Lepisosteus oculatus: one gene and its partners. The protein of the gene in region 1 interacts with the protein of each later gene in a pairwise test. Links are inferred from orthologs where the notes say so. Each region holds a gene or a part of one and is shown on either strand. Other genes may lie near its edges.

Evidence for each region.
Region 2: the proteins of homeza (region 1) and smyd1b interact in binary tests that used the Homo sapiens proteins (3 or more experiments, as listed by UniProt). The link is inferred for Lepisosteus oculatus from reciprocal best matches to the Homo sapiens genes HOMEZ and SMYD1.
Region 3: the proteins of homeza (region 1) and differentially expressed in FDCP 6 homolog interact in binary tests that used the Homo sapiens proteins (3 or more experiments, as listed by UniProt). The two-hybrid records come from large-scale screens. The link is inferred for Lepisosteus oculatus from reciprocal best matches to the Homo sapiens genes HOMEZ and DEF6.
Region 4: the proteins of homeza (region 1) and eloa interact in binary tests that used the Homo sapiens proteins (3 or more experiments, as listed by UniProt). The two-hybrid records come from large-scale screens. The link is inferred for Lepisosteus oculatus from reciprocal best matches to the Homo sapiens genes HOMEZ and ELOA.

What each region holds. Positions count from the first base shown.
Region 1 is NC_090699.1:13,251,324-13,259,324, reverse strand, and holds the start of homeza (homeobox and leucine zipper encoding a), read right to left. Parts: upstream 3,011-8,001; 5' UTR 2,492-3,010; intron 130-2,491; 5' UTR 1-129. Other genes in the region: dhrs1 (dehydrogenase/reductase SDR family member 1), read right to left, coding at 7,327-7,463, 7,565-7,645. UniProt on the Homo sapiens protein: May function as a transcriptional regulator.
Region 2 is NC_090698.1:74,659,420-74,667,188, reverse strand, and holds the start of smyd1b (histone-lysine N-methyltransferase Smyd1), read right to left. Parts: upstream 3,007-7,769; 5' UTR 2,750-3,006; coding exon 2,628-2,749; intron 1-2,627. Other genes in the region: sepiapterin reductase, read right to left, coding at 5,186-5,376. UniProt on the Homo sapiens protein: Methylates histone H3 at 'Lys-4' (H3K4me), seems able to perform both mono-, di-, and trimethylation. Acts as a transcriptional repressor. Essential for cardiomyocyte differentiation and cardiac morphogenesis.
Region 3 is NC_090700.1:37,020,929-37,028,898, reverse strand, and holds the start of differentially expressed in FDCP 6 homolog, read right to left. Parts: upstream 3,001-7,970; 5' UTR 2,941-3,000; coding exon 2,845-2,940; intron 1-2,844. Other genes in the region: proton-transporting V-type ATPase complex assembly regulator TMEM9, read left to right, coding at 7,964-7,970.
Region 4 is NC_090706.1:306,288-314,252, reverse strand, and holds the start of eloa (elongin-A), read right to left. Parts: upstream 3,004-7,965; 5' UTR 2,056-3,003; coding exon 1,808-2,055; intron 1,581-1,807; coding exon 1,502-1,580; intron 1,203-1,501; coding exon 1,146-1,202; intron 932-1,145; coding exon 819-931; intron 1-818. UniProt on the Homo sapiens protein: SIII, also known as elongin, is a general transcription elongation factor that increases the RNA polymerase II transcription elongation past template-encoded arresting sites.

The DNA of each region.
Region 1 (8,001 bases):
TATTTCAGCCGAAGGGATGGGGAGAAGGGAGGGGGGAAAAGATGTCTTGTTCTCTTCTGGTCTTCTCTGTCCAACAACAAGGAGGCACTGTGCTCAGCAAACAAACTCCCCCCCTCGCAATGGGATGTTCTGTTAAGTGATGACAAAAAGGCCGTTATGGTTTCCTATAGTCACTGACTGGACACTACAGTACATTAACACTGCACTGAGAGAGAGGGGTTCATACAGACACACTGACTGACTGGACACTCCAGTACATTAACACTGCACTGAGAGAGAGGGGTTAACACAGACACACTGACTGACTGGACACTCCAGTACATTAACACTGCACTGAGAGAGAGGGGTTAATACAGACACACTGACTGACTGGACACTCCAGTACATTAACACTGCACTGAGAGAGAGGGGTTCATACAGACACACTGACTGGACACTTCAGTACATTAACACTGCACTGAGAGAGAGGGGTTAATACAGACACACTAACTGGACACTTCAGTACATTAACACTGCACTGAGAGAGAGGGGTTAATACAGACACACTAACTGGACACTCCAGTACATTAACACTGCACTGAGAGAGAGGGGTTCATACAGACACACTGACTGACTGGACACTCCAGTACATTAACACTGCACTGAGAGAGAGGGGTTCATACAGACACACTGACTGACTGGACACTCCAGTACATTAACACTGCACTGAGAGAGAGGGGTTCATACAGACACCCTGACTGACTGGACACTCCAGTACATTAACACTGCACTGAGAGAGAGGGGTTCATACAGACACACTGACTGACTGGACACTCCAGTACATTAACACTGCACTGAGAGAGAGGGGTTCATACAGACACACTGACTGACTGGACACTCCAGTACATTAACACTGCACTGAGAGAGAGGGGTTCATACAGACACACTGACTGACTGGACACTCCAGTACATTAACACTGCACTGAGAGAGAGGGGTTCATACAGACACACTGACTGACTGGACACTCCAGTACATTAACACTGCACTGAGAGAGAGGGGTTCATACAGACACACTGACTGACTGGACACTCCAGTACATTAACACTGCACTGAGAGAGAGGGGTTCATACAGACACACTGACTGACTGGACACTCCAGTACATTAACACTGCACTGAGAGAGAGGGGTTCATACAGACACACTGACACTGGCGTTATTAATACAAAGTAAACACAGCAGTATTAAACATGAAGACACGCAGTAACCCCGAAAGCAAGACCGATACAAGTTGCAGTAAGGGATTAGTTATTAACTGAGATTATGATCAGAGCTGTGTCAGTGGTCGAGAGGGTACGTATGATAATGTTTCAACAAATTGTGGGTGCTGTGCCTGCAGGACTTGTAGGTCTCCTGAAAGCAACAACAGCATCACCTGAGGAGCTGCTATACTGGTCCACGAAGCCAATTATTAATAAGGAAGATGAGAGGAGGCTCTTCTTTACACAGACAGTGGTGGGGGTGGAGAACAAGCTGCCCAGCCCTGTTGTTGAAGCCGATACCCTGGCTTCTCTCCAGACACAGCTGGGTGAGACCCTCCAGTCAGGACAGGAGGCTCCTCTTTACACAGAGGGTGGTGGGGGTGGGGAACAAGCTGCCCAGCCCTGTTGTTGAAGCCGATACCCTGGCTTCTCTCCAGACACAGCTGGGTGAGACCCTCCAGTCAGGACAGGAGGCTCTTCTTTACACAGAGGGGGGTGGGGGACAAGCTGCCCAGCCATGTTGTTGAACTGGACACAGCTGTCTGAGACCCTCGGAACGACTAACTGGTAACTTTCTGATCGGCCGATCTCTTCGTCCACCTCACCAACAAGCCGTAGACCCGTACCCCTCCAAAAACAACATGTTTGTTCTCCCTCTGACGCAGGTTATCAGAAGGATACCGCCTCAAAGTCACGCTAGCGGAGCACGGCCGCGGGCGAAAGCAGTCACGGAATCCCCTCCCACGCACAGCTCACGGACACAAACACCCCCCCCAGCAGAAGCAGCTGTTTCCGCTGGGCCCCCGGAAGACGATTCACCCCGCGAGAGAGTTCCACGGCCGGGTGGGCACCGGGGCGGACAGCCCCTGCTCCGGACACGGGGGCGGGGGGAGGTGGACACACGGTCATCGGGCCACCATCTCACACACACACATACACTCGGCTCCGTCCCGCAGCCTCGCTCGCACTCGCCACGGCCACCCCCGGGGCGCCCCCAGCCCCCCCAGCCCGGACTGGCCCGGGGGTCCTACGGGGGGGGGGGCAGGTCAGCGAGAGGCCCCGTCTGTACAGCCCCTGCAAGCCCGCTCCCCCCGCGGCCACACAGACACGCCATCACATCGCCATCACGGCGCAGCACCCCCAAAACAACAACAACGACAACAGGCACCCCAGCCACCCCGGCGGGGCTCACTATTGTCCCGGCGCCGTGTGCGCGGACAGCGGGGCAGCGAGGCGGCGGAGCCGGACTCACGGGGAGGCTGAGGTCGCGGCGTCTCCGGCTCTCCCGGCCGTCTCCCCTCCGCCGGAGCCCCGCCGAGGAGAAGCCGCGTCTCCGCCGGGCGGTGCGGGGTCTGCGGGGGCCGGACAGCGGCTGGTGTCGCTCCGCTGCTCTTCCAAACACCGGAGACCGTCTGCGTGCGTGTCCGTCTCTCCGCCCCCCTCCGCTCCGGACTGCTGGCGTGTTTTTTCTTAAAGAAGAAAAAAAAAGTTAAATAAAAGTCCCGAGTTTAAACTCCAAAGCAGGCGGAGGCCGCCTGCGTTCTCGTTGTCGTGTTTCTGCCGAGGGGGGGAGGGGGGGTCGTGTTTTCGGCCGGGCGCTCGCTGCGTCCCTCTCTCTCCTGCTCGCCGTGTTTTTGTTCTGAGCCGCTACGCGAGGCCGGGCGGGAGCAGGAAACTCGGGCAGCTAGGCCTCGGTCTCCCGGGGTGACGGCGGGGGGCGGGGCCCGCTTGCCATTAAAGGCGTAGCGGCGCGGGGCAGCCGGGACTCCGCTCGCACCGACTAGTTGGGAGAAAGGGGGCGGAGCGAGCGGGGTCAGGGGGCGGGGTAACGATGGGAGTACGTGCTCCAGGTAACGTAGAGCGAATAGGGCAGTTGCAGAAGGTGATGGGAGGGGGGGGGGTTGCGCTGTGAGGGCCGCCATCTTATGAAGGTATTCCTGGAAGAGGTTTTGGTTTTAAAGAGAGAAGGAAAGATATAGCTTTATTGTCCACCCACAAGGGCGGCAGTTTGTCTCGGGCGTCACCGTACACAACGACACTCAACGTGAAATATGCAACCAACGCATATACACACATCCGTCTCGTATATTAAAGCGCATATTTCTGCCGGTTACGGATGGGGTACGTTTATTTTGGTTTCATTTAGGCTGTTAACTGTTTATCGCCGACCTCCTTGTACACCGGCCGCGGAATTCTCCTGTTGGAGCTGGGAAGTGCAGTCAAGCCAGGTCATGAAGCGCCGGGGGCCGGAGTTTACTCTGCTGTTTCTGAGCGGGAGGGAGTGTGACTCCGGAGAGGTCCGATTCCGAGCGGGCACGGCAGTGTAAACGCGCTGGGTCTTTCGTATTTAGCCAGGAGGGGGCGGTTATCGCCTCCACCCCCTCAGCTCCACCGGCTCGAGTCTAGATCAGGGTCCCCTTTGTGTGGAATCGCCGTGAGGTTTAATAATAATAATAATAATTGCTTACACTTATATAGCGCTTTTCCGGACACTCCACTCAAAGCGCTTTACAGGTAATGGGGATCCCTCCACCACCAGGTACCTTCTGTGTGGAGTCTGTGGGTCTGAGGTTCCTCCAGGTACCTTCTGTGTGGAGTCTGCGTGGTGTCTGTGGGTCTGAGGTTCCTCCAGGGACCTTCTGTGTGGAGTCTGCGTGGTGTCTGTGGGTCTGAGGTTTCAGGTGTCTTCTGTGTGGAGTCTGCGTGGTGTCTGCAGGTCTGAGGTTTCAGGTGTCTTCTGTGTGGAGTCTGCGTGGTGTCTGCAGGTCTGAGGTTCCTCCAGGTGTCTTCTGTGTGGAGTCTGCGTGGTGTCTGCAGGTCTGAGGTTCCTCCAGGTGTCTTCTGTGTGGAGTCTGCGTGGTGTCTGCGGGTCTGAGGTTCCTCCAGGGACCTTCTGTGTGGAGTCTGCGTGGTGTCTGTGGGTCTGAGGTTCCTCCAGGGACCTTCTGTGTGGAGTCTGCGTGGTGTCTGTGGGTCTGAGGTTTCAGGTGTCTTCTGTGTGGAGTCTGCGTGGTGTCTGCAGGTCTGAGGTTCCTCCAGGGACCTTCTGTGTGGAGTCTGCGTGGTGTCTGCAGGTCTGAGGTTTCAGGTGTCTTCTGTGTGGAGTCTGCGTGGTGTCTGCAGGTCTGAGGTTTCAGGTGTCTTCTGTGTGGAGTCTGCGTGGTGTCTGCGGGTCTGAGGTTCCTCCAGGTGTCTTCTGTGTGGAGTCTGCGTGGTGTCTGCAGGTCTGAGGTTCCTCCAGGTGTCTTCTGTGTGGAGTCTGCGTGGTGTCTGTGGGTCTGAGGTTTCAGGTGTCTTCTGTGTGGAGTCTGCGTGGTGTCTGTGGGTCTGAGGTTTCAGGTGTCTTCTGTGTGGAGTCTGCGTGGTGTCTGCAGGTCTGAGGTTCCTCCAGGTGTCTTCTGTGTGGAGTCTGCGTGGTGTCTGCGGGTCTGAGGTTTCAGGTGTCTTCTGTGTGGAGTCTGCGTGGTGTCTGCGGGTCTGAGGTTCCTCCAGGGACCTTCTGTGTGGAGTCTGCGTGGTGTCTGTGGGTCTGAGGTTCCTCCAGGTGTCTTCTGTGTGGAGTCTGCGTGGTGTCTGTGGGTCTGAGGTTTCAGGTGTCTTCTGTGTGGAGTCTGCGTGGTGTCTGCGGGTCTGAGGTTCCTCCAGGGACCTTCTGTGTGGAGTCTGCGTGGTGTCTGTGGGTCTGAGGTTTCAGGTGTCTTCTGTGTGGAGTCTGCGTGGTGTCTGCAGGTCTGAGGTTCCTCCAGGTGTCTTCTGTGTGGAGTCTGCGTGGTGTCTGCAGGTCTGAGGTTCCTCCAGGTGTCTTCTGTGTGGAGTCTGCGTGGTGTCTGCGGGTCTGAGGTTCCTCCAGGTGTCTTCTGTGTGGAGTCTGCGTGGTGTCTGCGGGTCTGAGGTTCCTCCAGGGACCTTCTGTGTGGAGTCTGCGTGGTGTCTGCGGGTCTGAGGTTCCTTCAGGTACCTTCTGTGTGGAACCCCCTGTGTCCACAAGAGCTCTCTCATCTGTGTTCAAGAGCTCCTCCTGTTCTGTGGCCAGGAGCTCTCACCTGTTTCCAGAACCTCTTGTCTGCGTTCAGGAGCTCTCACCTGTTTCCAGGACCTCTTGTCTGCGTTCAGGAGCTCTCGTCTGTGGCCAGGACCTCTTGTCTGCGTTCAGGAGCTCTCCCTGTGTTCAAGTTCAAGATGTGTATCTTTCGCAGACAGATGCCCATCCTCTCGTGTGCGTCTCAGGACTCCTGCCTGTCGGGCTCCCTCATCGCAGAGAGAGGGGCTCATCGCAGCCTGTCCTGACGCTGGACAGAAAGCTGATTTCGATGGGGTGTGTGCGTGTGTGATGAACACTCCTCCCTGGGTCTCTGGGAGCTGTTATTGATAATTATAATGATAATAATTGCTTACACTTATATAGCGCTTTTCTGGACACTCCACTCATAGCGCTTTACAGGCTAATGGGGATCCCCTCCACCCCCCCAGTGTGCAGCCCCACCTGGATGATCCGACGGCAACCATAGTGCGCCAGAGCGCTCACCACACATCAGCTGAACTCCTCAGAGAAGTTCACATTCATCCTGAAAGATGAGCTGGAGTGTTTGAAAGGACTGTGGAGAAGACACTGAAAGCACTAGTATAGTTCAGAGCAGCTCCACAGATCAAAGCTCTTAGAGCACTATTATATTGACACTTTAAAACCCGACAGAACTCTGATGTGGCCGTCACTGTACCTGTTTTTCATGATCAATTTCACCGTTATCCTCTTAAGGAAAGAAATGCAAAGCTCCTACTGTGATTACCGTGTAACACTTAATAAAACTGTAAAAAACACCACTCGCACATTTAGAGTGTAAAACTAGTGCAGTACAGCACACTTTACTTCAGCTTCTTTAATGCAAAGTATAATACATTACGTTTAGAACAATGCTGGATTAATGACAAATAAAATGCTGTTTATTAGTCACTGGAAGCCTTCAGGGTGAGCTGACCTGGTGTTGGACAGACAGGACAGGCAGAGTCATCGTACTGATGGACAGGGGTTCAGTGTGAAGGTCAGAGGTCAGCGGGGTGTGTGTGTGGGGTAGCTGACCTGGTGTTGGACAGATAGGACAGGCAGAGTCATCGTACTGATGGACAGGGGTTCAGTGTGAAGGTCAGAGGTTAGCGGGGTGTGTGTGTGGGGTAGCTGACCTGGTGTTGGACAGACAGGACAGGCAGAGTCATCGTACTGATGGACAGGGGTTCAGTGTGAAGGTCAGAGGTCAGCGGGGTGTGTGTGTGGGGTAGCTGACCTGGTGTTGGACAGACAGGACAGGCAGAGTCATCATACTGATGGACAGGGGGTCAGTGTGAGGGTCAGAGGTCAGCAGGGTGTGTGTGGGGTAGCTGACCTGGTGTTGGACAGACAGGACAGGCAGAGTCATCGTACTGATGGACAGGGGTTCAGTGTGAAGGTCAGAGGTCAGCGGGGTGTGTGTGTGGGGTAGCTGACCTGGTGTTGGACAGACAGGACAGGCAGAGTCATCGTACTGATGGACAGGGGTTCAGTGTGAAGGTCAGAGGTCAGTGGGGTGTGTGTGGGGTAGCTGACCTGGTGTTGGACAGATAGGACAGGCAGAGTCATCGTACTGATGGACAGGGGTTCAGTGTGAAGGTCAGAGGTCAGCAGGGTGTGTGTGGGGTAGCTGACCTGGTGTTGGACAGATAGGACAGGCAGAGTCATCGTACTGATGGACAGGGGTTCAGTGTGAAGGTCAGAGGTCAGCAGGGTGTGTGTGTGGGGTAGCTGACCTGGTGTTGGACAGACAGGACAGGCAGAGTCATCGTACTGATGGACAGGGGGTCAGTGTGAAGGTCAGAGGTCAGCGGGGTGTGTGTGTGGGGTAGCTGACCTGGTGTTGGGCAGACAGGACAGGCAGAGTCATCGTACTGATGGACAGGGGGTCAGTGTGGGGGTCAGAGGTCATCGTACTGATGGACAGGGGGTCAGTGTGAGGGTCAGAGGTCATCGTGCTGATGGACAGGGGGTCAGTGTGAGGGTCAGAGGTCATTGTGCCGATGGACAGGGGATCACTGTGTAGGATCAGTGGGGTTACTGGGTCAGAACCGTCCGTGGAGCAGAGTGAGAACAAACTTGGGAAGACGCAGGAAAGAAGGGATGAAAGAGGACAGCCAGGAGAGGTAGGGCACTTGGGAGACGAGAAAACTGACGGACATGTTGTCAAACACACTGCGCCCTGAGAAACACAGAGAGAGAGAGAGAGAGACGTTAATGATACAGACACACTGAGAGAAACGACACTAGTCTTCTGTGTCTTACTGATAATCCTACTCATACCATCAACATCCCGAATATTATAGCGCCTTGCAAGATCTGAGGTCATCAGAACCTTCCCTGTCAGAGCCATCAGGTTTGTATCTGTAAGTAAAAGAGAAAATAAACATTAAAATGAATCAAGAGGCAGCAGACACATAGCACATGGCAACAGCACAGTGAGACAGTGGAGAGCAGTGAGACAGGGAGACAGTGTAGCGCAGTGAGACAGTCTAGCGCAGTGAGACAGTGGAGAGCAGTGAGACAGTGGAGACAGTAGCGCAGTGAGACAGGGAGACTGTAGAGCAGGGAGACAGTGTGGAGCAGAGAGATGGAGAGACTGTAGAGCAGGGAGACAGTGTGGAGCAGTGAGACGGAGAGACTGTAGAGCAGGGAGACAGTGTGGAGCAGTGAGACGGAGAGACTGTATATCAGTGAGACAGAGAGACTGTAGCGCAGTG
Region 2 (7,769 bases), on another chromosome or scaffold:
TGATCAGCTGGTCCTTTCTGTGTCCAATGGCAGATGACTGAGAAGGGTCTGCGGTTTTGTTCTGACAACGTGCACACTGACACTGTCCAGGCCGGTGTGCCGGGTGTTGCAGACAAAGCCGATGGCACTCGTGATAGTAGGCAGTCTGTGAGGTGAGGGTTGAAAATAGAAGCACAGCGTGAGTTTTCCAGGAAAACAGTAGGGTGGACTGGGGGGGGGGGGTTGTAAACAGGGTGGACAGAGAGGCACTGCTGCTGATGTGATGATATTTTTAATTTGACTAAGAGTAATCAATAAAATCATTCTATAATTCTAATTCTAACTATAAGAATTCTAAATTTCCACCAATCTCATCACATAAAGAAGGGGACCATATCCCCCACTGATGCAACCCCACCTGGGAGACACACAGGGATCATTCTGCACCAGCAGCCCCACCTGGGAGACACACAGGGATCATTCTGCACCAGCAGCCCCACCTGGGAGACACACGGGGATCATTCTGCACCAGCAGCCCCACCTGGGAGACACACAGGGATCATTCTGCACCAGCAGCCCCACCTGGGAGACACACAGGGATCATTCTGCACCAGCAGCCCCACCTGGGAGACACACAGGGATCATTCTGCACCAGCAGCCCCACCTGGGAGACACACGGGGATCATTCTGCACCAGCAGCCCCACCTGGGAGACACACAGGGATCATTCTGCACCAGCAGCCCCACCTGGGAGACACACAGGGATCATTCTGCACCAGCAGCCCCACCTGGGAGACACACGGGGATCATTCTGCACCAGCAGCCCCACCTGGGAGACACACAGGGATCATTCTGCACCAGCAGCCCCACCTGGGAGACACACAGGGATCATTCTGCACCAGCAGCCCCACCTGGGAGACACACAGGGATCATTCTGCACCAGCAGCCCCACCTGGGAGACACACAGGGATCATTCTGCACCAGCGGCCCCACCTGGGAGACACACAGGGATCATTCTGCACCAGCAGCCCCACCTGGGAGACACACAGGGATCATTCTGCACCAGCGGCCCCACTGCACAGTGGATCAGGGGGAGGAGAGAGAAACTGCAGCCCCAGGTGATTTAGGAGAAGTTTCAGTCAGGGGTGCAGATGGTCTGGCTCATCCAGCTGAGAGATCTGTGGAGACCAGTATCTAGAAAACTAGATCCAGGTATTTCACTTTAAAGCTCTCTCAGACTAATAGAGAAGAAAGTAAAGCAAAAATGTAATTTTCTTGTTAAAAACTAACCAGGAATGTTTTATTAAATAATTATTAATTTTATTCTGCTCTCTTAATATGTGTATATACAGTACAGTATATACCATTATAGGCATAAAATATTGTAAAGTTTGTGTTTATTCTGTAATTCTTTGTGAAAAGGAAATAAAGTTCTTAAAAGCAAAATAAGTTAAAAGAATTGAGGGAGTCCAGATTGGATAAAAGCAGGGTGGAATTTTCCAGGACACTGGGGTTAACACTGTGTCCCAAGCTCTAGTGAATATCTAGTCAGGGCTTGAGTGTGACAATCTGAAGGGCGATGCCTCCTACAGCACAGTGTAGGTGTGCTGGGGGATTGCTTTGGACATTCTGAACAGATCCTGAAGAGCGCCTCCTACTGGCCCACCAACAGCCTTTCAGAGTCTGGTTTTCCTTAGAGGTCTCCCATCCCAGTACTGACCTGGACCAGACTGCTTATCTCCTGAGATCTTATCACAATACAGAATACAAGGTGGTAACGCTGCTGCGGTTAGCACAACACAACTTTGAGACTTAGGTTCTGAAGCATAATAACAATTCCATTTACTGCACAACAGCACTACCCCTTTACTGTATCTACAGCCTTCGGTGTTTAGACTTTTAGCTGTTTCCTGCACTGGAAACTCAGGACCCTACTGAACACACTACAGCCCATCACCCCGACACTGAGCTACTGAACACACTGCAGCCCATTACCTGACACTGAACTACTGAAACCACTGCAACCCAGCACACTGACACTGAGATACTGAACACACTGCAGCCCAGCACACTGACACTGAGATACTGAACACACTGCAGCCAAACACACTGACACTCGGCACCTGAAGACACTGCAGCGGAGCACTCTAAAAGTGAACTACTGAACACACCAGCACCCTAACATGGTTGTGGGCGTATGAACAGATACCCTGGCTTCTTTCCCGGAACAGCTGGATGAGACACCCCAGTGAGGACAGGGGGCTCGTCCCCCCACACAGGGCTGTGACAGCTGGGAACAAGCTGCCCAGGCTTGTGGGTGGAGCCGATACCCTGGCTTCTTTCACTTACTGGATGACAACTAGATGACTAGATGGACATACCATTTTTACGTTCTTAACACTGAGCAGCTAGACACACAGAAGCCCCCGGCGGCAGCGCTGTGATTCTGAACACGCAGCAGCTCGGCAGTCCATGACAGTCACTGCACGCCCACTGGCAGCTGTGCACAGCCCTCAGCTCCCGCCCTGAACCCCGCCTGGCCGCCGGTCAGCGTGTCCTCACGCGCTCCACACCGACGAGCTGCCTGCGCCTCTCTGGTGCTGTCCAGCACGCTCCGCACGGACCCGCCCCGGCCAGGACCGGGCCTACCTGTCGAACACCACGGCGGCGAAGCTGGGCTCCGCGAACAGCACGTCTCCGGCCCAGAGCTCCCGGGTGGCCCTCAGCCCGCGGCCCTTGCCCTCCGACTGGAACACCTCGACGCTCTCCATGCTCTCCGGGGTCGCTGCTCACACTGGCCGAGAGGAATGTCCTGCCTGCTCCCTCCCTGACTCGGGCTTTCAACACCTTCTCTGGCCACTCCCCCAGCAGGGCCCGAAATAGACTCGGCCCCCAAGCGCTGCAGCTCCCGGGCGCGGGGGGGGTCGTCCTGCCCGCAAAGCGAGCCCTGAGCACAGCTCACACCCGCGCAGGACCGCGGCCGCCTCTGCACTCACTCCCCCAGGGAGCTCTCTCTCGGGGGGAGACACGGCCAACTGCCGCGGGACCAGGCCCTGCAGGGCTGTGGTGTGTTTCAGCTTCCCCTTGTTTGGGAGAAATTGGGCCGTCCCAGTGTATTTTTAGCAGCCAGAAGTGCCTGCCTGTCACCCGGGGCAGCTGGGAGAGCGTGGGCTGTGTGGCCACCAGCAACCTTTTACCAGAGTGGCGGCCTGAGCCCATTTCCAGAAACCTCCAGAACAAAGAGCTGCCCTCCGCTGCCCTCCCCCACCCCCCGCCACCCCCAGCTCTGGCTGGTCTCACTGACCAGTCCCATCACAGTGTGACAGCAGGGAGAGGGGAGAGAGGGCTCAGCCCAGCCCCGAAGGACAGCAGGGTCTTGGGAAAGGAGGGCAGGGCGGACAGGCAGACCCAGGTCCCATCAGATCCCCAGAACCGGCCTTCGCAGGAACAGCCCCTGGAGACACAGCTCCTCTCGAGCTCCCTGTGAGCTCACAGCTGCTGCTCCTCAGAGACCAGGAGGAAACCCGACACACAGCGCACAGTCACAACAGCCCGCGCCGGGAAGCCTGGAGTCTCTCGGAGACTCTGCTGTTCTTCAAGACTGAAGGCTCACACTATACCGAACGTACCAGGATTTTTTTTACCGCGAGCAGTTTCTGAACCTTTTCTGAACCTCTCAGAGCGCCACAGCAGCGTCCCCGGGCAGTGTCAGTGTGACCCCACACCCCACACTCCTGCAGGACGTACACAGCGCATTCACCCCACTGTCCACCCCTCCACACGCTGGCCAGGCTCAGTCACGTCACCCCTGGTCCGTAGTGCTTCTGCACCCTGATCCTGAGGAGGGACAGGGCCGGGCGCAGGGATCAGGAGGCAGGAGTTCCCAGCCCATCCGCAGGCACAACGCAGGGATGATCCCGATGGATCTTCTTCCACAACAACACCGCAAACAACTTCTTCAATGGATTTTATTTATGACAAAATACTCTCCCGTACACCAGAACACTCACAACTGAGACAAGGGTACTGTGCCCAGATTTTCAGACATCACTGATACATTAATAACAATATCATCAACAATAACAGAACACACGTTCTTAAGGCACTGCACAAACTTCTGAACGCAGACTGGGACCAGAGCCCCTCCCCCTGCCCTGTCCCACCCCACAAGGGGGCGCCACAGCCCAGCCACCACCTGACACACGAGGACGAGAGGGACACAGCTCTCTGCGGCATCCCTCACTGTACGCTGGTTGTGTGCTGAAACACTGGCAGGGCCCAGAGCATAAGAAATCATTAAACAGTAGAAGGTGTGCACACTGCGCATCTCATTGCTGTGAACAATTCCTTTGGACAGAATTGCAGTATCTTTGGGGCTGCCTTCTCTCTCCTAGGGCACCCTACACCCAGCACCCCACAGAGAGGCACAGTCAGAGCCATCAGCTGTAATACAGAGGCCTCAGTAAAGCATGAAAGATTGGTCTCTTCTCTCGTGAACGTGTGCTTCTGAAGCCGTCCTGTCCGGCCGATAAGAAGTCCACTCACTGAGCTTCTCACCACTCAGGAAAAAGCACAGCACACAACCAAAATCAACCAGGTCACTGCAGAGGGGTTACAGAAGCGGGAAAATAAGGCGCAGGACACAGGGTGGGAGACGAGACAGGAGAGACAGGAGCCCACTTCACTGCTCTGCGCTCACAGGCTCCGAGAGTCCAGGTTTGCACAAACAGACAGTTGAGGAATGTGATCTGTACTTCTTCAAACTGGAATGACGACCAGACGTATTCAGTGTTCTGTCCAGCAGCGAGTCAGCTGTATCACTGTTTCAGTAGAGTTGCTGTGGTCCAGTTACAGGTCAGTGGGGTGGCTGTGGTCCAGTTACAGGTCAGTGGGGTGGTCCAGTTACAGGTCAGTGGGGTGGCTGTGGTCCAGCTGCAGGTCAGTGGGGTGGCTGTGGTCCAGCTGCAGGTCAGTGGGGTGGTCCACTTACAGGTCAGTGGGGTGGTCCAGCTGCAGGTCAGTGGGGTGGCTGTGGTCCAGTTACAGGTCAGTGGGGTGGCTGTGGTCCAGCTGCAGGTCAGTGGGGTGGTCCACTTACAGGTCAGTGCACTGGTAGGTTACAGGTCGGTAGTGTAGTGTGGCTCCAGTCTAAATACAGGACAGTACGATGGTCCAGCTGGCGTAGCTGTGTGCTGTGGCGGGGGGGTCTAGATGTCGTAATAGTCGATTTGTGCCCCAGACTGGTACTGGTCCTCGAGCAGCAGCTGCGCCAGCTTGGCACCGGACTGGGAACAGGACAACAGCCCCCCCTTGCTGTGCATGTCGGAAAAGGACTGTCGGACCTGCGCGTCCCCAGTGAGGCTGCGAGCCTGCGTCTGCATGTCCGTGTCCAGAGGGCCTGCAGAGAGAGGCAGCGTCACGTCAGGGAGACAGAACAGAAACACTGAAGTACAGAGAAGGAGAAGGTGCCCACTCACACTTACACCCCCACTGACCTCTCTCCTCCCACTGTCACTCCTATCTCTCTCTCCACCATTCAATTCAAACAGCTTTATCGGCATGACAAAGCATATACAATTGACAAAACATCTACAGACATTTACAATACAGACACATCATAGTGCATGTACATATAAACATATGGAGAATTATTGAGAGACAGGCTCACTATTCCTCAGGCTGGGACAGGAGATCACACACTGTATTATTATTATAGAGAGACAGGCTCACTATTCCTCAGGCTGTGACAGGAGATCACACACTGTATTATTATTATTGAGAGACGGGCTCACTGTCTGTTCCTCAGGCTGGGACAGGAGATCACACACTGTATTATTATTATTGAGAGACAGGCTGACTGTTCCTCAGGCTGGGACAGGAGATCACACACTGAATTATTATTATTGAGAGACAGGCTCACTGTCTGTTCCTCAGGCTGGGACAGGAGATCACACACTGTATTATTATTATTGAGAGACAGGCTCACTATTCCTCAGGCTGTGACAGGAGATCACACACTGTATTATTATTATTGAGAGACAGGCTCACTGTCTGTTCCTCAGGCTGGGACAGGAGATCACACACTGTATTATTATTATTGAGAGACAGGCTCACTGTCTGTTCCTCAGGCTGGGACAGGAGATCACACACTGTATTATTATTATTGAGAGACAGGCTCACTGTCTGTTCCTCAGGCTGGGACAGGAGATCACACACTGTATTATTATTATTGAGAGACAGGCTCACTATTCCTCAGGCTGTGACAGGAGATCACACACTGTATTATTATTATTGAGAGACAGGCTCACTGTCTGTTCCTCAGGCTGGGACAGGAGATCACACACTGTATTATTATTATTGAGAGACAGGCTCACTGTCTGTTCCTCAGGCTGGGACAGGAGATCACACACTGTATTATTATTATTGAGAGACAGGCTTACTGTCTGTTCCTCAGGCTGTGACAGGAGATCACACACTGTATTATTATTATTATTATTATTATTATTATTATTATTATTGAGAGACAGGCTCACTGTCTGTTCCTCAGGCTGTGACAGGAGATCACATACTGGGCTGCCAGTTCAACTGAGTTCCCTCTTCCCTCTCCCAGTAGGTTTGGGAGCTGTTGTGATTCTGGGAGGTGTGGGAACTCTCGGATTAGATTTCTGAATTTAGAGAAGAATGTTTCTCTAATCCCAGAGTATCTGTCACAGTGCAGTAGGAAGTGCACCTGTCTCTACAGTGGGAGCACAGCCTGTCCTCTCTGGGCAGCCAGGTCTGCCTGTGTCGCCCAGTTTCTATGGCCAGGCTGTGGTCACTCAGCCTGTATTTCGTCAGGGTCTGTTTCTTTTTGCTGTTTCTTATCTTGATCAAATATTCAGCTAGTGTCTGTTGTCTGTCTAGGGTTCTGTAGCATTCCAGTTGATGTTGTGTTTGTGTGTGTGTGTGTCCCAGTGTGTGAGATATTGCTGTTTGATCTGTGCTGTGATGTGCTTGTGTCTGAGTTGTGGTGCTCTAGCAGTGCTGTCCTGAGGCTGGTTAGTGTTGGTGTGGCTCAGGTCAGTGAGCCTCAGGACCAGCTGGCTCAGGGGGCTCTGTTTTGGGCTCAGCAGGGCTTCGTGGTGGTAGAGGTTTTGGTTGCTGTTTTTAGGTGTAGCCAATACTTTAATACTCTTTTCTGTATGTTTATCAATAGTGGGTACTGGCCTAATTCGGCCCTGCACCCGTTGTTAGGAGTTTTTCTCTGCACACGGAGGATGTTTCTACAGATCCCATTTGCAGAGTTTCTGTGGGGTGTTTGTCCCATTGAGTGTAATCCTGGTCTGTGAGGGGACCCCACACTTCACTGCCGTATAGGGCAATGGGTTGGATTACACTTTCAAATATTTGGAGCCAGATTCTTGTTGATGGGTTGATGTTGAAAAGCCTCCTTCTTATTGTGTAGCTAGGTGAAAACTCACAGATGAGCTGATAGTCAGACCAATATGTATGTGTAGCTGGATGTGTGCTTCAATGTGTTGTTGAGTGTGAAGTGGTACCTGTTTCCCTGAGATCTGGTTTTCTTCTGGAAAACCATGACTCTGGTCTTGTCCAGATGGGCTGTCAGCGCCCAGGTCTGACAGTCCTGCTCCAGCAGTGCCAGGCTCTGTTGCTGACCCTGTTCTGGGTCCAGATGGGCTGGCAGTGCCCAGGTCTGACAGCACTACTCCAGCAGTGCCAGGCTCTGCTGTTCGGGGTCCAGATGGGCTGTCAGCGCCCAGGTCTGACAGTACTGCTCCAGCAGTGCCAGGC
Region 3 (7,970 bases), on another chromosome or scaffold:
ATGTAGATGCAATGAAGAGATTTCAAAATAAGACCAGAAAAGTGTTCTAAACTACATATTCACAAAGTTACCCACAGAGAGCAACAAATGTTGATTTTTAATTGTAAAACAATTTAAGCAATAGCTTTTAAATGAAAAGAAACACAGTGAATCCCAAACGTTTAGCAAAACTGTCACCAACTTTATTTTTTTATTTCTGGTTACGATCAGGAGGTGGAGAACTCTAGGTCTGAAAAGCCAACATAACTTCCGTGCGTATTTCGGATGATCTTGTTTGAACAGGGAACAAAAAAAAACGAACCTCTTTAAAAAATGAAAACTAGATATGATGTGCAGACCCAACTTTCTTGAATTTGTTTTTTTTTTTAAACTGTGTTTTGCAGGTTTTTTGTTATGACATGGAAGGAGAGAAACAGCATGTCAAACTAGAAAAAAAGAAATGAGAAGTGAGCTCTTTATTTCTACATGTCTGCAAACAGGAGATCTCAAGTTTCCTACCACATCCTGCCTACCCCACCTCCTTTCGCCAGAAGAAGGAGGGCGAGACTGATGCCGCCTGCCCGTGCCGAGCCGAGCCTGAGCTCGCTGCTGCTCTCCGCACAGCCCCTGCGCGTGAGGGGGATTATCCCGGTCATGGGACCCAATCCCTTCTCAGTCCCCGATTGCCAAGGGACAAGGGACACAGGCAGGTCAGCGCAGCCCGCAGACCAGGTGAACACGGACGTGAGAGAAGCCCACGAAGACGTCAAAATCACCCTCTGTCCTGGCGCCCCTGCAGGCGCCGAGACCCCTGGCCTACTGCTCAAGGGTCCTTCTCAGTCCCTCGGGGCAGACACTGCTGTGGCATCCTTGAGCCAAGGTGCTCTATCTTAATTTAATGTTAACTAGTGCTGGACTAGTGTTACAGTCAGCGAGAGGGATAATATACACTTGGCTGACTTTATGCACCAGGAATCACAGTCATCATGATGCCTCTGAGACACACGTATGCTTTTGGAATATTCTTACTCGATGTTCCCACAGACCCTGCAGACTTTGGCAGCGCTGACCCACCCCCTGTCCCCCCCAAAAATAAACCTCATGTTTTCACTGTCACTTTCACTGTCAAATCATTGTCTTGCACTACCTCCATCCACACTGTTAACAAGGGTTGTGGGTGTCTGGAACAAGCAACACATCCATGTTATTTAGGGTGATACCCTGGTTTCTTTCAAGAAATGGGTGGATAAGATCTGCAGAGTCATTAACTGCTAGAAACCAAACGTGTTAAATGGGTTGGATGGCCTCCCCTTGTTTGCCAAATTTCTTATAGTTTTGTGTTCACTCTCACATGGAGAAACACATCCCCTGAGGCTCCATGGAGTGTCTGAAATGTACAACACAGGTTGTGCCAGACCTGGTACTTTCAATCTCCCCACAGGTGTGGCATGAATTCAGTTTTCACAGGGCTGTGTGGGGCAGACTCAGTCCAGGTCAGGATACTCTCAGAAATACTTTGGTACCAGAGGGGGAAGTGACAATATGTCAAATATAAAATTAGCCATCAACAAAAGCCCCTCTCTGAACAGAATTCCAGGAGCTCCTTGACTGCATCACGGGGCCAGTGCTTCACTGAGTGACTCAGTACGAAATTCGGATGAAAAACGTAAGATGGATGAATGTCTTTCAGCCACAGAGTATTGTCACTTCCTCTTTTGAACAGGTCTGTGGAGCAAGTTGGTTCTGGGCCTTGAACTTCCTCACGGTCAGGATCTGAACCTGGAATGTGCACCCCCTCTCCAAAGTAAAAGACAGAAGCCAATGTTATGATTGATATAATCAATTCTTGCATACTGCAACATAGGCTCATGGGTTTCTTAATAAGGGCATACATATATCTGCATGGTCATTCATTGTCTTCACCTTTCAAACTACAGAAGGAAACTATCTACCTGTGTCTTATTCTGTGAAGCGTTAACTTTCAACAGCGCACGGGATATGGAAACTCCTGAAGTAAGAAATCAGTTTTAATCAAAATGTTTCTTAACCAGCTTGACTTTGCAAAATTCCTTCATTTTCCTCATGAAGAGACAAGAAATGAACTCACTCTTCATCTCTGGTCTTCACTTTTTAAGGCACACACTCTCATAATTGCGTACAAAAGAAAATTTCTGTGCTATGACAAATATTTATTTCAATTGTTTTTTTTTTGTTCTTAAAAGCAAGAGGTTGTCAAATAAGGCCTGGTGGCAACAATAGCACAAATATTTTTAGTTTTTAACTAAAAGCACTATAGGTCTTCATATATATGTCTTCATGGTAGGGTTGTGGACTATTAGAATTAGCTCACAGTTACTAAAGGAATTTCCCTAATAAATAAAGTACAGTTCCTGGAATGTAATTTGAAAGTAATTTTGTTCTTTACAAAATGAGAGAGCACCAAACGTGGTTGATGCTGGGCTTCACACGCAGATAAAACTTTCATCACAGACCATGCTGGCTGAGCCCTGCTGAATATAGACAGAGGATTTCAAATGATGGTGAAAACTGTGAGCAGAGCAGTCACCTGAACCAGGAAATGCACGACACTGAACACAGCAGAGCGAATCCCCTCAAATAAATCCATCTCAGCCCGCCAGGGACCAGACTGATTCCCACTCCAGCCAACTCACTTAAGACTTTTTAAAACCATGCTTGGAAGGGCATCAGTGGCGAGTGAAACTGCATGAGACGACAGCACATCGGAAGTCATAGCACCGAACATCGTCCCTGCAGAACAACATGACACTGCCAGAGTCTCTTCTTTGTCTCTCTTCAGCAACATCCACCAGCAGTAGAAACCTACGCACAACGGACCACACTTACCTTCAACTGTGATTTGGAGACCTTGCCACTCTTCTCCACGTCCAGAGCAGTGAAAGCATACCAGATGGACTTCAGCAACTCCCCTCGTAGCTCCATTACTGCTGCGGCATGACTTTCTTTTTTTCTTGTCTGTTTTTTTTCCCCTCACTAATCAGTTAAGATCTGCATCAACAGCAGCTATATCCGCCCAGCTCCTCACCAGTGTCCCTGAAGAACAAGAGCGCCCCCTGTCTTCTGCACCTTGCACTGCACCCTCCTGCTCCCCGCTCATGAAAACTGCTGATCCACTTAAAAGTCATCACCACCTACAGAAAGAGCCACTTTAAAACAGCTCATTTGTCAAGGAATGTCTCTTTAAAGGTGGAACTTTGTGTCAGTGTTTTTTTTTACTGAACCTACTGTGTACATCAGTTTGAAAGACTCCTGCTGGATCCCTGGAGAGCATCAGGGACCTCTGGTTCTTATTCCAGTTCTGATGTTCATTGATTAATTGAATTTAATTAATTGTTTGGAAAAGAAATGAAATCACTTTTTTTTAAGCCATAAGCAGATGACAATTGAACATAACCTGTAGAACGAACACAGAGGGACTCTGACCCTCATGGACAGGGACTCTGTGTTCTGTGCTGCTCTGCTGAAATATCACTTAGTGAAATACATTCATACTCATTACACAGCTTGAGTATTCTACTGGAGCGATTAGGGTGAGGTGTGTTGTGTAAGGGTACAACAGCTGTTTCTCATCTGGGATTCAAACTCACAACCTTCCAAGTACCAGTACAGAACTTTAACCACTGCTACACAGTCGTCCTGAAAGCACGCCCCACATACTGATGCTGAACGTTCATTCCATCTTGTGTATACAGTGACATATGTTCAAACCCATATTATGCAAGAATACTAATATTTAAAATCATCACTACATGCTAGTCAGTAGCAAGTTAGTGCCATTATGGCCTACATTAAAAACACGAGTTTGTAATTATATTGGGAATTGGCACGTTTCTACAATGCTGTTGCAGACAGATTCATGATCCTATAGAATGACCTTCTGAGGAATTGCTGTGAAGGTAGACAGGGGAGAGGGTGGAAGGCAGTTGGTTTTCAGCTGTGGGGAAGCACACAACTGGAAACTGGTGGGTGGAATGACAATGCTTCCTAGAGAAGTATATACAGAGAAGTATAATATAATACACATATACAGCATATCACATTTGCAGAACTACTGTCGCTGGCAGCCTGTGTCTGCAGTAAGGTTATTACTGACACACTTATTACAATGTGCAGTGCTTGCATTTCAGTAAATGCAACTAAATGCAAATGTAGACATTTTTAGCAAATACAACTTCTTCTAAGTTTGTCAAACTTTCAGTCATTGCACCATGTGACGTTGTAAGGAGTTTTCTGCCAAATGTGGAATACAGGTCACACTGTTCATAATTTCAGGGATTTCAGTTTGTGTCTCCAGCAGTGGAAACCGCATAGCCAAAGTTACTTCCCTAATTATCAGGAACCGTTTGAAAAGAAAGCTCTCGTCAAGAGATACATGATAAAAAAAAGTTTGTGCAACTGACTGCTCAGTTCATGTGTAGTATTTTTTAATGAACCGGAAATCAACCATTAAAAAGAGCAGGTATTAATAGTAAAAGGAATGGGAAATACAGAAATACAGACTGTTCTGCACTCTGCTCCTTTCACCACATAAAACACTCCTGCAGGTACTAAAGGCTTTTCCAAGTTGATCACTTGGAAATTATAAACACACTATTTCTACTGGACTTTAATTTTACTTGACCAAATACCCACTTTGCAGCCTGCCTGATCTGGTCAGATCTTAGATAAGCAGGGCTGGGCTGGGCCTCTAAAGAAAACTTGTTACAGCTGCTCTAAGTGGCATTGGTGAACCAGTAGGTGGTGCTCTCGCCTCTGCAATAGAAATTCCAAACCCCGTGTGGTGACCGGGAGCAGAGAGAGTTGCCACTGTTCATTATGTGTTAGATTAAACTGAGGTCCCTACAACTACATCATTACAGGTCCCAGGCACTGAATGTTAACTTCAGTGTCCTGGCTAAATGCCACTCCGGGCTTGTACAGTCTGACCTACCAGACGTTCACCCGAAATTCAGCCGGTGAAGTGATTTCTCTCCCCTCCTCTCGGTCTGCTGTGCAGTGGGGCTGCTGGGGCAGGACGGCTACTGCTTGTCACCTATCCGGGGGTCACTTCACCCACAGGTCCTGTCGCCTCCTGGAGTATCTGCTGTATCCCCACAGCTCCGGAGCCCGAGCTGGCACCGCTGTGCAGAGCACAAGAAAGTGAACAAACAGGAGGCCATTGGGACACTTGGCTCATTTGTTTTTCCATCCCTCCATTTTCTAACCACTTCATACAATCGAGGGTAGTGGGGAATCATCAGCAAGCAACTGGCGCAGTCGATCACAGGACACGCACACACGCACTGGCACCGGGGGCAAATTTCCCAGAAGCCGGTTAACTATCCGCTTGTCTTTGGACTGTGGAAGGAAACCGTAGCACTCGAAAGAAACCCACGTGAACATGGGGAGAGCATACAAACTTTTGGAACCATCTTTCTACCCTGCTGTCCCATTTTGTCTGTATCTGAATGTTCTGGGGATATCTTCTAGACGTTTCTTGAAAGAAGCCAGGGCGTTGGCTTCAACACGTTGCATGCGAGGGTTGCTACATGCTCCCACAGCTCTTTGTGCGCAAAACAGTACCTCCTGTTCTCGGTTGTAAATGCACCTGCCAGGAAAACCACCGCAATAAAGCAAAGAGTAGTGACAGGAAACTATGTACAATACCTACGCAATAAGAAGGCCTTGTGAGTCCTCGAGGTATTATAGTATTCGTTTTATACATTTTAGGAATTAATGTAGGAAAAGCAATCGAAGCTATCTGTTAAACGGGAAAAAAATATTCCTCTTTATTATTGGTGCGTCATTCACGCTCTGCAGTTGAGGTGACATAGACCAATAGGAATAAGGGAGATGTGTCAGATTTACCAATCGCAAGGAAGCAGGCGTGTCCGGAGGAAGAACAGTCAATGCTCTCTTCCAACGCGAATAGAGACCGCTCGGCTTAAGGAATCCGAACGAATTGACGAAAGGGGAGAAGGTATGTGAACAGGGACCGCTTCTGTATATCGAGTTATTTTATTTTAAAAAGACAATAGGAAAACCTACCTGAGCGGTGCGCGATTGCTTGCAGAACAGTATTTACAATGTCTCCTTGAGTTACCCGAAATCACGGTTTTTTTTGCTTCTGCTGTCAGTGAGGGACCCTAACAATGGTGCTGTGTACAAAACGTATGCTTTGCAGAACAGGTTCCGTTTTGATTTGTAAATTGCACTGTCTTGTGACACTCTAAATGACTATGCTGTCATTTATCTCCTGTCTGTGGGCAGTGGACAGGCATTTACCGACGTGTGCATGAAAGGTGTTTTTGTGTATTTGTATTTTGTATATTGACATGTACAGTATGACTGCCTCTGTGGTCACCACCTTGCGATGCGCCATGACATGTGTGGAGGTGGCGTTTAGTGGGTAGTGAGACGTCTTAAAAACAGATTGTATTCACAAATATCAGACTTAAGATCGCTCGCGTGGTTCATGTAAAAACAATACACACAGCTCAGTTGTTTACTATTTTTAATTCATTGACCTCACATTGTCAGCATTGGTAGGCCCGTGTATGGTCTCGACATTTACTGTAGCTTCGGATGCAGTGACTTAATACTAATAGGGCACTGACTTGCTATCTCACCTCACTTGCTGTCAGACTTTCTGTTTCACCGGACTGAGCGCATATGAAAAAAAAAGGCTGAGATTGGAGCCGATTTACCCGGCCACCTGAAGGACATGCTGTTGCGTGTTTTTTTCTACATTCGATTTTTATTTCTAATTAATTTTATGAGGAATACAAATAATGATCAATAATTGCATTTATAAGTGTTTTACACGCAGGTGACCCAGGGAAGGTGTTCTGCACCAGCTGCCCTGCAGCACATCATGGGTAAGAGGGAGAAACTGCCTCACCAGTTGGGTTGAGGGAAAACTTTAGGTAGGCAAGAGTGGGCAAGCCAAGAGAGCAGTGTAGCCAGGGCACTAGGGATTAACACTCCTAGAGTCCTGGGATCTTCAATGACCAAGAGGTCAGCAGGAGCTGGTCCTGGGTCACTATACTGGGCCATTGCTTTGGAAGTTCTGGTCAAGGGGGGAAAAATCACCAACTCGCCTCAAATCGACAGAAATATATCAGATATGATATATCTGAGGCGTGCGCCGTTGTCCACCTCCAATCTTTAGAGGAGCAGCCAGTTTTTCCTCTGAAGTCTCCTGTTCCAGTACTGACCTAACCAAGCCCTGCTTCTTTTCGGAGATGTGAAGAGATCAACCTGGAAGGTGGCAGCCCTGCTGTCAGAATTCCTCTGCAGCCCAAACTGAGCAAAGTAATCCCTTTAATAGGACTCCCACCCATCCCCACAGAAAGAGCAGAATTATATAAAAACAACTTGCACAAATGTTGAATTCTACATTTAATTTCACAGTATATAGTGTTCAGTAAAATTTCTAGTTTTACATTCGGATTACAACCATTGTGAGATTTTCGCTGGCCTGTGAACAAGTCGGATTAAGGGCTTTTAAAGAGACGCAATGTTCCCTCCCTCCTGAGTTAAATGGATAAATGGAGTTTCTGTAAAATAAGGCTTTTTTAAAAAAGAATTACCAATACACTACACTGTTCTACAAAACACAATTGAAAGCTTTATGCAACACTTGAAGGTTATTTCAGGCCTCTAGTGCGACCCCCATGTACAGTATACTGTGCTGTACAGTATATACAACCACACCTGCGGACAGATTTATACTGTAGGTACACACACAGAATGCAGTCAGGAGACAGTGCAGTACTACGCAAAGGTGCCTCATCACCAGCCCCCAGAATTATACCAGCCCTCTTCTTTTGGTACCAGCTGAGTCGCACCCCAGACTCCGGGCGTGCTGCTCCACTACGTGGCGCTCGGTCTCATCGTTTTGTGCACCAAAGGTCTGAGCAGCGCTTGTGTCCCACAGAGCCCCCTCGTGCGCCGCCGTGTCGCCATGTCCA
Region 4 (7,965 bases), on another chromosome or scaffold:
AGCTCCGCTGCACAGAGAGAGAGGCTGGAGCTCAGACACACCTGGAGCTCAGCTGCACAGAGAGAGAGGCTGGAGCTCAGACACACCTGGAGCTCAGCTGCACAGAGAGAGAGGCTGGAGCTCAGACACACCTGGAGCTCCGCTGCACAGAGAGAGAGGCTGGAGCTCAGACACACCTGGAGCTCCGCTGCACAGAGAGAGAGGCTGGAGCTCAGACACACCTGGAGCTCCGCTGCACAGAGAGAGAGAGGCTGGAGCTCAGACACACCTGGAGCTCCACTGCACAGAGAGAGAGGCTGGAGCTCAGACACACCTGGAGCTCCGCTGCACAGAGAGAGAGGCTGGAGCTCAGACACACCTGGAGCTCCGCTGCACAGAGAGAGGCTGGAGCTCAGACACACCTGGAGCTCCGCTGCACAGAGAGAGAGAGGCTGGAGCTCAGACACACCTGGAGCTCCGCTGCACAGAGAGAGAGGCTGGAGCTCAGACACACCTGGAGCTCCGCTGCACAGAGAGAGAGAGGCTGGAGCTCAGACACACCTGGAGCTCCGCTGCACAGAGAGAGAGGCTGGAGCTCAGACACACCTGGAGCTCCGCTGCACAGAGAGAGAGGCTGGAGCTCAGACACACCTGGAGCTCCGCTGCACAGAGAGAGGCTGGAGCTCAGACACACCTGGAGCTCAGCTGCACAGAGAGAGAGGCTGGAGCTCAGACACACCTGGAGCTGAGCTGTCAGAACAGACTCCACTACAGACTCACTCTCCAGCCCAATTCACTCTGCTCCCCCCTCCCAGTTCTCCAGCATTCCCAGTACGCACCTGTCCACCGCCTGAGGCACCAGCTTCTTCCACTTGGCCACCAGGCTCTTGGCCGTCTCCCCCACATGCTCATGCTTCCTCAGGGAGTTCACTGCCTTGCCCACCCCTGTCTCCTGCAGGCAGAGAGGGAGAAGGTAAGAGGAAGAATACGGTCCACAGTGAGGGAGGAAGAGTACTGTCCACGGTGAGGGAAGAAAAATACTGTCCACAGTGAGGGAGGAAGAGTACTGTCTGCAGTGAGGGAGGAAGAGTACTGTCCACGGTGAGGGAGGAAGAGTACGGTCCACTACAAGGGAGGAAGAGTGCGGCCCGCAGTGAGTCTCTCACCACCAGGATGTCCACAGTGATGGGGAGCTCTCCCAGTCTCTTCAGAGTCTTGAGCAGCTGCATAGACACAGAGAAAACAAACAACATCAGGACTCAGCGGGCCCAGGCGGGCCGGTCCAGACCCAGCGGGGGCCCAGGCGGCCGGTCCAGACCCAGCGGGCCCAGGCGGGCCGGTCTGGGCCCAGCGCAGATATAACTGATCGATTCATAAAAACTGGGGTTTGATTAACTCAGAGCAGAGGCTGGGACACTGCCCAGGCTTCACATATAAATGTCTTTATTTACACTCAGCACATAGTGAAAATTCCTTACACTAATATAGCGCTTATCTGCACACAGCGCTCAAAGCTCCTTACAGGTCGTGGGGATCCCCTCCAGCACCAGCAGTGTGCAGCCCCACCTGGATGATGCGCCAGTCCGCTCCCCGCACACCAGCTCTCAGTGGGGAGGAGAGCGAGAGAGGACAGCGTGTAAGATGTCTCCCGTCCGTTTTTGTCTTTTCCTCTCTTTATGCTGTCTTTTACACTGTTAGCTGTACACAATGCTTGCTCGATGATCAGCTATGACCGACAAACGCTAATGGACATAAGATCAACTGTCGGCTCAGCGAGGTCTGCACCCAATATGGCAATGGATTACCTGGCCTACAGTTTCAAGCGCACCTGTTCCCGAGGGCAACGGTGCAGGAAGAGAGGTAGGCGGGTCGGGGTCTTGGTAAGACTGAGACAACACTGGAATCGCCCTGCGCTTCCGAGCAAGTTCGATCCCTGGACAACAAGCTGCACGGGCTGCAGCCCCTCTGGACACCGCTGTCGATCCGAGAGGGTTTTCCGTGCTCCGTCAGGACAGGACAACGGACTCGGGGAAGATCAGGGTGGAGGAATAACTCCTGGTGCACAGACCAGTTCATCGTCACGCCCCCACATCCTGAACACCTGACAATTAAATGTCGCCCCTTCTATGTACACCAGTGTACACTGGTCCTCACGGCGGTGTGTACTGCGCCGCAGAGCCCTGGAGGAGCTACACCAACACCTAGGCAGACATGAGAACTCACCCCGAGGACTCATCCGTCACAGCGGGGGATCAGAAGAAACTCAAGCCTAACCTGCATCAGCACATCGACTGCCCGACGCGCAAAACAAACACGTTGGACAGTGTTTACACTCCCCTCCAGGATGGCTACAAAGCCCTCCCCCAACCTCCTTTCGGCAAATCCGATCACACCTCCATCCTGCTACTCCCTGCCTGTAGGCAGAAACTCCAGCAGGAGAAGCCTGTGACAGGGACCACCCAGCGCCGGTCGGAGGAATCGGACCCTGTTCTAAGCCACTGCTTTGCCACCCCTGACTGGCAGATTTTTTGTGAAGCTGCAGGGAACTACATTAATCTGTACGCAGACTACGCTACTGGCTACATCAGCAAATGTACAGAAGATGTTGTCCCAAGGATCACTGTTCGCACATACCCAAATCAGAAAGATCACTTTAATTTCTTGTATGAGGAATCTGTCTTTTCTCATACCCCAGCTTGCTCTCCATGAGACACACAGACAGGGAGAGAAGCTGGGGGTCAGAGCGTAGGGTCAGCCATTTATACGGCGCCCCTGGAGCAGTTGGGGTTAAGGGCCTTGCTCAGGGGCTCAACAGAGTAGAATTCCTCTGCCGGCCGCGGGATTCGAACCGGCAACCTTCCCCAGGGCTGCTTATTCAGCCCTCACCTCTACTCCCTCTTCACCCACGACTGCGTCGCCAGGAACAAAACAGACTCCATCATTAAGTTCGCGGATGATACAACCATATCAAGCAGCCATATCACCCTGCAGCTCACAACTGGCAGCCCTCTGAAGCTCAGCAGGTGTGAGCCTGGTCAGTACCTGGATGGGAGACCTCTTGGGAAAAACTAAGGTTGCTGCTGGAAGAGGTGTTAGTGGGGCCAGCAGGGGGTGCTCACCCTGCGGTCTGTGTGGGTCCTAATGCCCCAGTATAGTGACGGGACACTATACTGTAAACAGGTGCTGTCCTTCAGATGAGATGTAAAACCGAGGTCCTGACTCTCTGTGGTCATTAAAAATCCCAGGGCGTTTCTAGAAAAGAGTAGGGGGGTAACCCCGGTGTCCTGGCCAAATTTCCCATTGGCCCTTACCACTCATGGCCTCCTAATAATCCCCATCTCTGAACTGGCTTCATTACTCTGCTCTCCTCCCCACTGAGAGCTGGTGTGTGGTGAGCGTTCTGGCGCACTATGGCTGTTGTCGCATCATCCAGGTGGGGCTGCACGCTGGTGGTGGTGGGGGGGATCCCCATTACCTGTAAAGTGCTTTGAGTGGAGTGTCCAGAAAAGCGCTATATTAGTGTAAGCAATAATATATTATTATTATTATTATTACAACGATCATCGGCTTGATCCCGAACAGTGATGAGTCCGCGTACAGGGAGGAGGCATGAAGTCAGGACAACCTTTCTCTCAACACCAGCAAAACTAAGCAGCTGATGGTAGTTTTGTCCGAGGAACAGACCACACACCCATTCACATCAGCAGGTCCGCAGTGGAGAGAGTCAACAGTCTCATATTCCCAGGTGTCAACATCACAGACGATCTAACCTGGACCCACCACACCAACCTCGTAGCCAAGACAGCACGGCAGCTTTCTCTGTCCGCAGATTAAAGAAGTTAATCCGTCTCACATCCTGACCAGCTTCTACAGCTGCACCACTGAGAGCATCCTACCCGGCTGCACCCCTGCCTGGTGTGGTAACTGCTCCGCCCGAGAGCTCAGGGTCCTCCAGAGGGGGGTGAAACCGGCGCCAAACGCCACCAACTGCGCTACGGAACATCGGGGTAACTCCTCTGTTAGACGCCTCAAGAAGGCCAGGACTGTCCCCAGGGACCCCAGTCACTCTCACCACAACTTGCTCTCTCTGCTACCATCTGGGCACCGGTACCGAAGTGTCCGGACCAAGACCACCAAGTGTCGGAACAGCTTCTTCAGCAGTAAGACTCCTAAGCAGCCAACCACAGCAGACGCCTGCAGTTACCCCAACGGCCGCTGGCGAACAGGCCCTCCTGTCACTCTCAGGACACATACCAAGAGCGCTAAATACCTCCTATCCCTGTGCTACTTTCGCACAATCTGTGATTGTATTGTAAATTGCAATTGTGTCATTTATTGTATTCTAATGTTAATCTAATCCCTATAAATTCCTGTTCTTCTACTCTCCTGTCCCTCTTAACGAGCTCGCGGACAAAGCATTTCACTGCCGACAACACCGCTCTGTGCTGTACTGTTCGTCCATCGATCAATAAACCTTCATTGATTGACTGATAGATTGATGAAGCCAGTTCAGAGATGGGGATTATTAGGAGGCCATGATTGGTAAGGGCCAATGGGAAATGTGGCCAAGACACCGGGGTTACACCCCTACTCATCTCAAGAGACGCCCTGGGATTTTTAATGACCACAGAGAGTCAGGACCTCAGTTTTACGTCTCATCCGAAGGACGGCGCCTGTTTACAGTACAGTGTCCCCGTCACTATACTGGGGCATTAGGACACACACAGACTGCAGGGTGAGCACCCCCTACTGGCCCCACTAACACCTCTTCCAGCAGCAGCCTTAGTTTTTCCCAGGAGGTCTCCCATCCAGATACTCACACCTGCTGAGCTTCAATGGGCTGCCAGCTGTGAGCTGCAGGATGACATGGCTGCTGGCTCAGGGTTCGAACCTGCGTGGTTAGACCCTGTTGGATTTCGAGGCCAACGCCTTAACCTCTCTGCCATCGCAGCCGACGAAAAACAGAACCTCTACATGATTGCGTGTGGTAGGTCTGTGGGTAAATCAGGCCTGCCTGCGCAAGCACTGCGCTGCACCCGGCTCAGGACTGCTCCTGTTTGTGCTTGGCGTTGTGCAGCAGCTGGAGGCCGCGCAGCTCGCGCACGCATCAGGTACGTCCGCGCGCGCTGTCGTCGTCTACCACCTCGTGACGTCATGGACGAAACGGAAATTATGTTGTTATTGTCACTCAGTTTGCCCACGTCGGGGGGGAGGGGGAGACGGTCGGGGACTTGTGCGTGGAGTCTGTGTTTACGGCACGGATTGGGTCACCGTGGTAGTGCGCTGGAGAGCAGAGCGAGCACAACCGCCCCCCCCCCGGACAAGCGCTCGCTCCCGGCCGGACACTGACGGACAGGTCGATCCCGTGTCCAGATTTCCGGCGAGTGCTGCCGGCCGGACTCTGCAGCCGAGCGCCGTGCAGAGCTAGTACCCGTCCTGCCCGATACCGCAGACACGACCTGCGCTCCACAGACCGTCGCTTTATTACTATAAACCGTGACGTGATCTAGAAAAAAGACAGACAATCGACGCTACACTGTCCAGCTGAGAGGGCGATGCAATGCTGTCCGCCTACCCTGTCCCCGCTAGCACCCATGCCTTCTTCGGTAGCCCAGGTCTTTACCTTTCTGGGTTCCTGGTTGTCCGACAGCCTGGACTGCAGCCTGTCCACCGTTTCCAGCAAGTCCTCCGCCATCTTTACTGCTGGCACCCTCACCCGGAACGTGCTTAGCTGTGCCCTGCCGACGACGCAACGGAGTTGCCCTCACTGCCGCATGGCTTCATCCATGCCCACAGATGACATGGCGTGTGGGGGGAGGGCATGACTATCCCAGAAAGTACTAGATAGGCCAATTCTATTTATCACATGACCTTAAATGCGCTGACTGTTACACCATTTTACTGCGGTCACTCAGTACCTCACCAACTTTCCAGTTTTAACGATGAGATAAACAACGATTAACAACAACGTAAATTGCTTTTTTATACCTCACAATTATTTAGTACGTAACTGTTACAAATATCCTTTGGCTAGTGGGGCTGAAGCAAAATGACTGACGCTTGTTACATTTCCAGGGTAAACAGTAATTCTATGGTGTTCAGGAACGAAAGGTGCATTGTGGGATACCTGGGAGCGGAAATGGCTTGTAAACGTCATCAAAACCAATAGGAAGAGATTCTGTTTAGCTTTAATTTTTAAGTTTTTATTTAAACAGCAGAAATACAAAAAATGAGAAATACAGAAATAGGCAAACTTCACAGACCGAGGAATTTACCATTATTTACCATTTACCATTGGTGGTGGTGGAGGGGATCCCCATTACCTGTAAAGCGCTTTGAGTGGAGTGTCCAGAAAAGCGCTATATAAGTGTAAGCAATTATTATTATTATTATTATTATGAAAGCTGAAAATAATGCTTTTTACATATTTCTATTGTATGTTTTGCCTTTTGATTCTTTAATCACACAAAGCAGGGTCCAGCCGGGACACCCTGTCCATCGTAGGACACACACACACCAGCATGACTCTGGACTGTGGGAGGAAACCGATGTGAATAGAGAACATGAGGAGAACATGCAAACTCCACACAGACACCCGACGTCCAGAATCGAACCCAGGGCCTCAGTGCTGTGGCACCGTCCTGCTCCCCAATCAAAGTCCACTGCGTGAATTTCTTTTGCACTGTTTTTACATGATTGAACAGGTCCCCCTGAGTGCTGAGACTGGGAGCTACTGTGTTTCTCAAGGGGGGGGAAGATGGCTGTGGAGTTGATGTGATCTCTCTCCAGCGCTGGAAAACCTCAGCCTAGAGGAAAGGAACGGTGTCTCCTCACCTCTGAAAGTGCCCAGTAATAGTTCGGGAACGCCAGCATCCTGCACCCTCCTTCTTGTGCTGGTCAGGGGGCAGGCCGTGTGCGTCTGGGCGGCGTGTCCAGTCCTGCGCTGCCCCGTCAGAGCTGGACAAAAACACAGCTGAACAAGCACAACTGTCTGTTTCAGGGCCTCAAGGGTTAATTGCCTTTCTGGCTCTGTCCCACCTAAGGGGATGTCAGCTGACTGGGCTGGAGGATATTTTAGGAGTGGGGGTGTCTGTATTTGGAACTGGGGGGGGACATTCCATTCCCCTCAAAACAGCTTCGGTCTCACGCTGCCAAGGACAGACAGACACAGGGACAGGGACAGAGGGAGAGAGAGACGCATGACAGAGGGAACAGAGAGCAGCACACCCAGCCAGAAAGGGAGAAGAAGAGAAGACAGAAAGCAGCCGAGAGAGAGGTGAGCTGTGCAGCTTGTTCTGGCCTGTTGACTCGGTCGGGGGCTGGCTGGTCGTGGAATGAGAGCTCTGTCTGCACTGACACAGCCGGACAGAGTCACAGGGGACTCACCTGGACCTGAGGCACAGGACAGAGGGAGAGAGAGGAACAGGCAGCTGGAGCAGACACCCTGTCCAGCTCAAACACATCACTGTCATCATCAAATCCAAATACAGGCTCCGGTGTGTGTATCTCACATTGAGCGCTGTGCTCTGGGTGTGAGTGTGTGTGTGGGAGTGAGCGCTGTGCTCTGGGTGTGAGTGTGTGTGTGTGTGGGAGTGAGCGCTGTGCTCTGGGTGGGAGTGTGTGTGGGAGTGAGCGCTGTGCTCTGGGTGTGAGTGTGTGTGTGTGTGGGAGTGAGTGCTGTGCTCTGGGTGTGAGGGTGTGTGTGGGAGTGAGCGCTGTGCTCTGGGTGGGAGTGTGTGTGTGGGAGTGAGCGCTGTGCTCTGGGTGTGTGTGTGTGGGAGTGAGCGCTGTGCTCTGGGTGTGAGTGTGTGTGTGGGAGTGAGCGCTGTGCTCTGGGTGTGAGTGTGAGTGTGTGTGTGGGAGTGAGCGCTGTGCTCTGGGTGGGAGTGTGTGTGTGGGAGTGAGCGCTGTGCTCTGGGTGTGTGTGTGTGGGAGTGAGCGCTGTGCTCTGGGTGTGAGTGTGAGTGTGTGTGTGGGAGTGAGCGC